2 linked regions of the Sus scrofa genome follow. The protein of the gene in region 2 purifies or fractionates together with the protein of the main gene of each other region. This does not show direct contact. Links are inferred from orthologs where the notes say so. Each region holds a gene or a part of one and is shown on either strand. Other genes may lie near its edges.

The links. Proteins that work in one complex are often made in the same cells at the same time.
Region 1: the proteins of CHD3 (region 2) and BCL11A purify together in Homo sapiens (affinity purification with mass spectrometry; 3 studies listed by BioGRID). This does not show direct contact. The link is inferred for Sus scrofa from reciprocal best matches to the Homo sapiens genes CHD3 and BCL11A.

What each region holds. Positions count from the first base shown.
Region 1 is NC_010445.4:81,196,594-81,200,710, reverse strand, and holds the start of BCL11A (B-cell lymphoma/leukemia 11A), read right to left. Parts: upstream 2,826-4,117; 5' UTR 2,777-2,825; coding exon 2,722-2,776; intron 1,267-2,721; exon of another isoform or gene 415-1,266; coding exon of another isoform or gene 366-414; intron 1-365. UniProt on the Homo sapiens protein: Transcription factor. Associated with the BAF SWI/SNF chromatin remodeling complex. Binds to the 5'-TGACCA-3' sequence motif in regulatory regions of target genes, including a distal promoter of the HBG1 hemoglobin subunit gamma-1 gene.
Region 2 is NC_010454.4:53,159,529-53,163,095, forward strand, and holds part of CHD3 (chromodomain-helicase-DNA-binding protein 3), read left to right. Parts: intron 1-198; coding exon 199-440; intron 441-1,470; coding exon 1,471-1,634; intron 1,635-1,873; coding exon 1,874-2,000; intron 2,001-2,440; coding exon 2,441-2,681; 3' UTR 2,682-3,567.

The DNA of each region.
Region 1 (4,117 bases), on a different chromosome or scaffold from region 2:
TCTGCCTCCTAGCGACCGAATGGCTCATACAGCCCTAGGAGCGGAGGACAGGGGGGAAGAAGGGGGTCCTGAGGATCGGAATGGCTCCCGCCTCCTCTACGCACCCAGAAAATTAGAAAGGAGCGACCCCTGCACCCTCTTCAAACTGGTCCGTTAACCAAAGCCTGCCCTGAAACACGAGGAGAGAGGGGCCAACCCAACCCGCCTGGAGTGGCCCAGAATGGACCCGGGATGAAAGGGGGAAGGGAGGGGGGCAGCCCAGACTGCACGCCTCAGTCCGTCCTTTGAACCCCTAATGCATCCTTCCGAAGAAGGGCCCGGCTTTCCCGAGTGCTGCGAACACTGCCCTTCCTTCCCGCCGGTACCTGGCCGGGCTGTAACTTCACACCGCCGCGCGCCGCGTCTGCTCCGCATCCGGCGCGGCTGGGCGAGTGGGGGGCGGGGGAGAGCGGCGAGGGAGGGATGCGCGGGGGTGGGGAGAGGGAGGGCCCGCAACGTGCCCGGGCGGGGGAGCTTTCGAAGTATGTGACAAGTTCCAGGGCCCAGTGAAAAACTCAATTCCCTATGCGCAACCCCCCCCCCCAGACACACACCCCTTTTAAAAAAATACAGAGCTAGGTATAGGGTGGTCCTTTAAAATTGCAGCAAAAATTAAATTAAGGGTCAAGAATGAGGAGGGGAAGGGAAGTGGGCCCTCACGCCTTTCTTTCTCTTGCAGCCAAACTTTCCTAAGTATCCATCGCCTGCCTTTCCAGGCGCATTCTGTTAAGCCAGGAGACTGCTACCCACTCACCCACCCCAACCCCTCTTATACAGATTCACAAGGAAACACCACCACCCCCGCCCCCGCGTTCAAGTCTAGGTCCGAGGTAGAGAGCAAGAACCTAAGGGTGGGGTGCGTAGGGTCCTGGGGTCGAACACTCCCAAAATGCCCATTCCAACATACTACTCCTTTACCCCACCCCCACCCCCACTTGGCTTCGACGCTCTCAGGACCCGGGGGCTGGTGCCCAGTGCGGGTGGGAGGGGGGCCGGGAAAGCACGTGGTGACCTCCTCGCCGCCCAGAGCTGGAGGCAAGAGACGTCGGGGGTAGGGAGCGGACAGAACTAGCTTTTTCGGTTGCTTTGCTAAATAAAAATGCTTTGCAAAGCCGAGTTTCTCCCCAGACGATTTCGCAGCAGGGTTGGCCGGGAGGAGGTCTAGGCATTGTGCTGGGGCTCCAGGGTGGACCCTGAACCCGGCAGGCTCGGAGTTGCAGCACAGCCTTCCGCTGTGCAGGCGGACAGGCGGGCGAGCAAGCGGGCGGGCGGCGGGCGCTGGGTGGGCGATCCCGGGCGGGGCGGGGGCGCGGCGAGGCCCGGCAAGGCCCGGGCGAGGCCCGGCCACAGCCGCCGCCCGCTCCCGGGCTGCCGCGCAGTGCTCGGTCCTCTCTGTCTGTTTGTTGGCAGGAGACTCCCGCACACGCGGTGCTTGTAAACATTCAGACACGAGATTTTTCCCAATCAAAATCCACTTCCACTTTTTTTGAAAATCTTCCAAAAAATAGTAAGAGGAGGGAGTTCCTCGCTCCCTCTCCGTGCCGCCGGCGCTCTAAGTTTTCAACTAAAGGGGTTTTGAGGAGGGAGGGGTGGTAATTGTGTTTTTCCCCTCAATTAGAGAATGTGATATTTTTGCGGGGGGGGGGGCGAATCTAAGAGGAGAGCGTTGCAGAAAACGGCCGGCGGAGCGTTTTGCGTCAGTTGGAGGGCAAGAAATTTCACATTCTCTTGACCTGTTTTATTTATTTTGTTTTGTTTTGTTTTGTTTTGTTTTACACGTCTTCTCGCCGCCACTGAGGTTCGGCCGGGAGGAGCGGGCAGCAGCAACCCGGGAGGCGGTGATCGGGGTGCCCTCCCTCCCTCTCCCGCTCGCCCCCGGCCCTTGCTCCTGCCCTTCGGCGGCAGCGGCGGCGGCGCGGGAGGGCAAGCGCAAGGAGCCGGCACAAAAGGCAGCGGGACAAACACCCACCTCCGACCGGAACAAAAGGCAGCAGCGCCGGCCGCTTCTCCGGTCCTTCCCTGTCGCCCTCTCCCTACAGCCTCAGCCCCATTCCAGACTCGGCCGACTCCGGAGCGCCGGGGGCCCCCCTCCCACAATCCCACTTTCTCACTATTGTAGAGATGACTACTTTCCTCCGGTGCACGCTTTACCGTGAGAGCCCCGGTGTCCGAGGGCCAGTCTCACCTCTTTCCTCCCTAGGAATTGTTTTTTTAAGACTTGGGTCCCCACCCCCCGTTTTCCTTTCTACGGTGAGTGGAAGTAACCCCCCTTTTCCCCTCCGGTTCCCTCCCTTAGGTTTACACGAGAGTTGTTAGCATCCACAGCATTGTTCATTATTTTGCAAAATTGGAGGGGAAATCATTGCATTCCTTTTCGAAAAGCGAAATAAAGCAGCGGAAAGCAGGAAAGAGGAGGAGTCTTTTTTAATTTTTGTAAAATTAAATAAAATTGAAAGGTTCGTGCCACCCCAAAAGTATACATACGGCTATGTTTCGGGATGGGATGAGGTTGGTTTTCTGCCCCCCCCCAATCTCTTTTATCCCGACTCTCGGAGGTTTTTCTCGTGAAAAAAAAAAATTTAAATGCATGCACACACCCCTTTCTCCCCCTCTCTCTTGCTTCTCGTCCTGCGCGCTCTCGTGATTATTAATAATTATTATTACTATTATTGGGTTACTTACGCGAGAATTCCCGTTTGCTTAAGTGCTGGGGTTTGCCTTGCTTGCGGCGAGACATGGTGGGCTGCGGGGCGGGCGGCGGCGGCGGCGGCGGCGGCGGGCGGACGACGGCTCGGTTCACATCGGGAGAGCCGGGTTAGAAAGAAGGAGACTCCAGAGAAAATATCTTCATCAGTGCCTTTTGACATCCAAAATAAATTAGAAATAATACAAAGATGGCGCAGGGAAGATGAATTGTGGGAGAGCCGTCATGGCTTTTTTTTTTTTAAGCAAAAAAAAAAAAGAGAGAGAGAGAGAGAGAGAGCAGAGATAGAGGGAGAGAGAGAGAGAGAGAGAGAGAGATGAAAAAAATGGCAAAAGCCCCCCTGAGCTGCAAGTTCAAGTGCGGACGTGACGTCCCTGCGAACTTGAACGTCAGGAGTCTGGATGGACAGAGACACACAAAACATGGGCAGGGCGAGCAGGAGAGAAGGGGAGGAGGGAAGGGGAAGCTCACACCAATGGACACACATCAGGGGCTGGACATGAAAAAGAGACCAGGACAAGCCAATGGCCAGTGCGGGGCGGGGGAGGTGCGGGGCGGGGGGCTCCGCAGACGCCAGACGCGGCCCCCGGGGGAGGGGCGGGCGGAGGGGAGGGGGCTCTGGGGCCGCGGGCTCACCAGTGGCCGCAGCGAGCGCCGAGGCGGCGGCGTGGCCGGGAGAGAAGAAAGGGGCGGCGGGGCGGGGGGGGAGCAAGACGTACGCCCTGCTCCCCCCCGCACGCGGAACCTAAAATGAAAGATTATTTAAAATTAAAAAAATAAAAAAGCCAGAGTGTACGGGGAAGCTGCTGGGGCCGGGGAAGCGCGGGCGGAGGGAAGCCAGGTAGAGTTGTTCCCGGACACCCTCCTGCGTGCGCACACCCACTTCCCCTCTCCGCCGCAGCCGCAGCTGCGCTCGTGCCCCGCGTGGGGACGCCGGGGACCGAAGTAAAAGCTCTGAGCCCGCGGCTGCACTCTAGAAACTTTGCCGGAGAAGAGGATAGCAAAGAAAAACCACCCGAAGTTGAGAGCAGAGCCTCCAAGTTACAGCTCCGCTGCGGACGAGGGGAGGCGGGAGGGAGCGCGCGGCGAAGCAGAGTCCAGCTCAAGTTTGGAGGGTTGCGGGTCCGAAAGGACAGCGCCAGGGGCTCCGAGAGACAGGCGGCCTGGAGAGTCGGGGGAGGGCGGGGAAGGCGGTGCAGGCCGGGCCGGAGGGCCGGGAGGGCATCCCTCAGGCTAAGCCGGGGGTTGGGCCGGGGGGTGGGGGCTGCGGGGGAGACTCTCAACGCCTCGACAAGCTATCGGGTCTGAATGCAACTGGGAGCTGCGAGTCGAGGTTCTGAACGGATCGTGGAAAGAGAGACTGAGGAATAAAGA
Region 2 (3,567 bases):
GCCGGACTAGAGGTTCACCCTGTGTTTGGGTCTGTGGTCTGGATCGGGTTCGATGTTGGGGTCGCCGTCAGGATCAGTGTGGAGCTTGGGGTGCCCTGAGCCAGTGGTGAGGGCGGGGTAGGTCCCCAGCCCTGATCCAGCCGCTGGCTGCTGCTGCCGCCACCGCTCCCTGCACTCACCTGCTCCCCGCGCCCTCAGCTCCTGGAGCAGGCGCTGGTGATCGAGGAGCAGCTGCGGCGGGCGGCCTACCTGAACCTATCACAGGAGCCGGCGCACCCCGCCATGGCCCTCCACGCCCGCTTCGCCGAGGCCGAGTGCCTGGCCGAGAGCCACCAGCACCTCTCCAAGGAGTCGTTGGCGGGGAACAAGCCGGCCAACGCCGTCCTGCACAAGGGTAAGGGCCGCGGCGGCCCCGCGCGGGGGAGGGCCCACAACGCTGCGTAAGTCTTCACCCCGCACCCTTCAAAATCTCCCCACCCCTCTGACCCCTTTACCCTCTGAACCACCCCCCTCTGACCTCTAACCCCCCCCCCACCTGGTACCCCCTTGGTTTTTGGCCTCTAGGATCTGTATAGCCAGCCCTCTCCCAGACCTAATAGCATTCACATCAGTGCCTAATAGAGGGGCCTCCCCCCAGCCTCCGTGAGACGGTGCCACGTCCCCTCCACAGGACGGAACTTCGCTGACCCCCACGCCTGCCATACTGCTAATAGCACCCTCTCTGGGGCCTCAGCCTGTGTACAGCCCAGCGAAGTCCTTGCCCCCAGTCCCACGAATTACACTTCCCACATCTCATTCACCCAGTGGGGCAGAAACCACCACCATCCCACCCTCTGACCCTACCCCACGAGACTTCCCTTTGACCTTCAACCCTTCCTCCCAGACCCTCTCACCCTGATAATAATAGATTACGTTCTGAAGCCCGCTCCCCAGCTAGTTCTATTCGAAGTAGTGACTGCCTCCTGGCCCCTGTAATTCCTGTTGTGATTCCTCGAATCTGTAATGCTGACCCTCTAACCTCCCTCCCCCTTATACACTCAGACCCGACTCCTGAAATCTCTGACACCACTTACCGCCTCCCACGCCTCCCGACTATCTCCTCCCCGTCACCCCAACCCCCAACCCTCAGTCTTCCAGTATGGGATGTTCTGACAACCCCCTGCCCCATGTCTTCCAATGTCCTGCCCTGTCTCCCCCTGTCCTTGCGTCTTTCTTTCCACCTGTCCTTTGTGATGATCTGGTCTCTGCCGCTTTACCTGACACTTCTTGTTCCCCCGAGCTGCTCTCTTCTTCTCTCTACTTCTGTCATTTCTTTGGTCTCTGATTCTTTGACCTCTGTCCTCGTCTCTCTGCTCCTTTCTCTCCATCTCTGACTATCTGTCCATCTGAATCCTCATCTCTTTTCCTGGCTCCATCTCTCCCTTTCCCTGTCTTTCTCTTGCCCTTCTTTCTCCGTGGCCCGGGCCCCAGTTCTGAACCAGCTGGAGGAGTTGCTGAGCGACATGAAGGCGGACGTGACCCGCCTGCCAGCCACGCTGTCCCGAATACCCCCCATCGCAGCCCGCCTTCAGATGTCCGAGCGCAGCATCCTCAGCCGGCTGGCCAGCAAGGGCACGGAGCCTCGCCCCACACCGGTAACCCTCTTTCCCCCTGACTCGTTTTCCCTGACTCCTCCTGCACACGCACAAACGCTTCCTCCGGAATGCTATACAATGTGGAAAAACGACTTGCTCGAACACACTCGTCGGCCTTGAGTCTCCCTGCCTGCGTGATGCCCCTCCGTAGTTCTGCAGTTTGGCCCTTGCTGTCTCCCCTACAGCTTCTTTCCTCAAAGACTGTGGACCTTCTAACTGCGGCTCGATCTCTCTTCCAGGCCTTCCCCCCGGGTCCCTACGCCACACCTCCGGGGTACGGGGCGGCCTTCAGCGCCGCACCCGTAGGGGCCCTGGCCGCCGCAGGCGCCAATTACAGCCAGATGCCTGCAGGGTCCTTCATCACAGGTCAGCTGGTAACGTCCTGCCTCCCACTCGTACTGGCCCTTTCCTAAGCTTCATCTCTGCTCAGCTGCCCTTTTCCTTGGCCAGCCCATCTCATTCCCTTGGAAGCATCCAGTGGTTTATGGAATGGAGTAGCTCTAGGCCAGGGATCAAACCCATCACCCCAGCAGTGACGTGGGCCACTGCCGTGACAAGGCCGGCTCCTTACCCCGCTGCACCCCAGAGGAACGCCTTTCCCATCCCTTTCCTCTCCTCTGTTGCTAGACTCAAAGACACCTAGCAGTTCTGTGGCTCGGTGCCTCTTAACATGGGTGACTTGAGGGAAAGAGAACGTGAAATCGGAAGGGCGTTACACTGAAACTTGGAATGTGTGGTCGCTGTCGATGATGGGGAGTGAAATAGGGACTGATGCTTCCTTATCCCCTTGTCCCCTTCCCAAACAGCCGCCACCAACGGCCCTCCAGTGCTGGTGAAGAAGGAGAAGGAAATGATGGGGGCGTTGGTGTCAGACGGGCTGGATCGGAAGGAGCCCCGAGCCGGGGAGGTGATCTGTATAGACGACTGACCGGATCCCAGACCTGCCCTTCACCCAGGCCTCGTTCCCGAGGCCGACCCCCAGCTCAGGCTCTGGGGCCTGCTGCCAGTCCTCCGCCTTCCCCACCCCTTGGGCCACCACTGGGCTAGGAGCCCGTTTGCCCCTCTCTCCCACTCTTTTCAGGAAGGGCCCTTTGTCTTTTCTACCCCACGCACCTTTCCCACCGCGCTTTGGAGACTGCTGGTGAGAAGAGGTCTGGGTGGGAGCTGGTGAGCAGGGTCCTCCAAGTACCTTTACCCCCACCGCCAAGCATACACAGCTTCCCGATCAGTGGTTGTGGGGAGGAAAGAGGTGGAGCCTCCCCAGTTTTTATTCCCAAAATATAAGCTCCACCTCCTGCAGAAGTGGGGAGTTAGCCTTGCCTGGCCTTTAGGAACTTCGGTGGGGAAAAGAGAGCCTTGAAGAGAGGAGGGGACTTTAGAGAGGGATGACAGTGAGCCCTGGGAGGGCGGAAGGGAAGAGGAGGGGCGGCTGCATGTTTCCCTCCCTCCCTCCCCGCAGATGGAGAGTGGAGCAGTTACAAGGGAGGGAGTCCGTTGCTGTTCAGCCTCAGAATAAAGGCGCTGTTCACTGGCTCAGTCACCTCCTGCGTACTGGCATCTTGTGTTGGGAATCTTACCCCATCCCTAGGGACCAAGGACTGCCCCTACAAAGAGACTAATAATTTGGGTGAATACTCCCTTAAGCCAAAGAGGAGCTCCCCAATCTGTCCTAGGGACCCACGTAATCTAGAAAGGGTGGCAGAGAACGCAATGGGCCAGACGTCGGGGGAGCCCCCAGCTTTGGGGCTCAGGTTCTTGGAGGACTTTTACCCTCCCTCCTGCAGACCTGGATACGGACTAAACTTGAGTGGGTCAGCCAGGGGGCCTAGTCAGGGGACTACCTTGCCTTTGGGACCAGAGCAAAATAGTGGAGGGCAGGCTGGGGAGACATGGGCACATCCTCCTCCCCGAGAGGGGCTGGGACAGTGGCAGT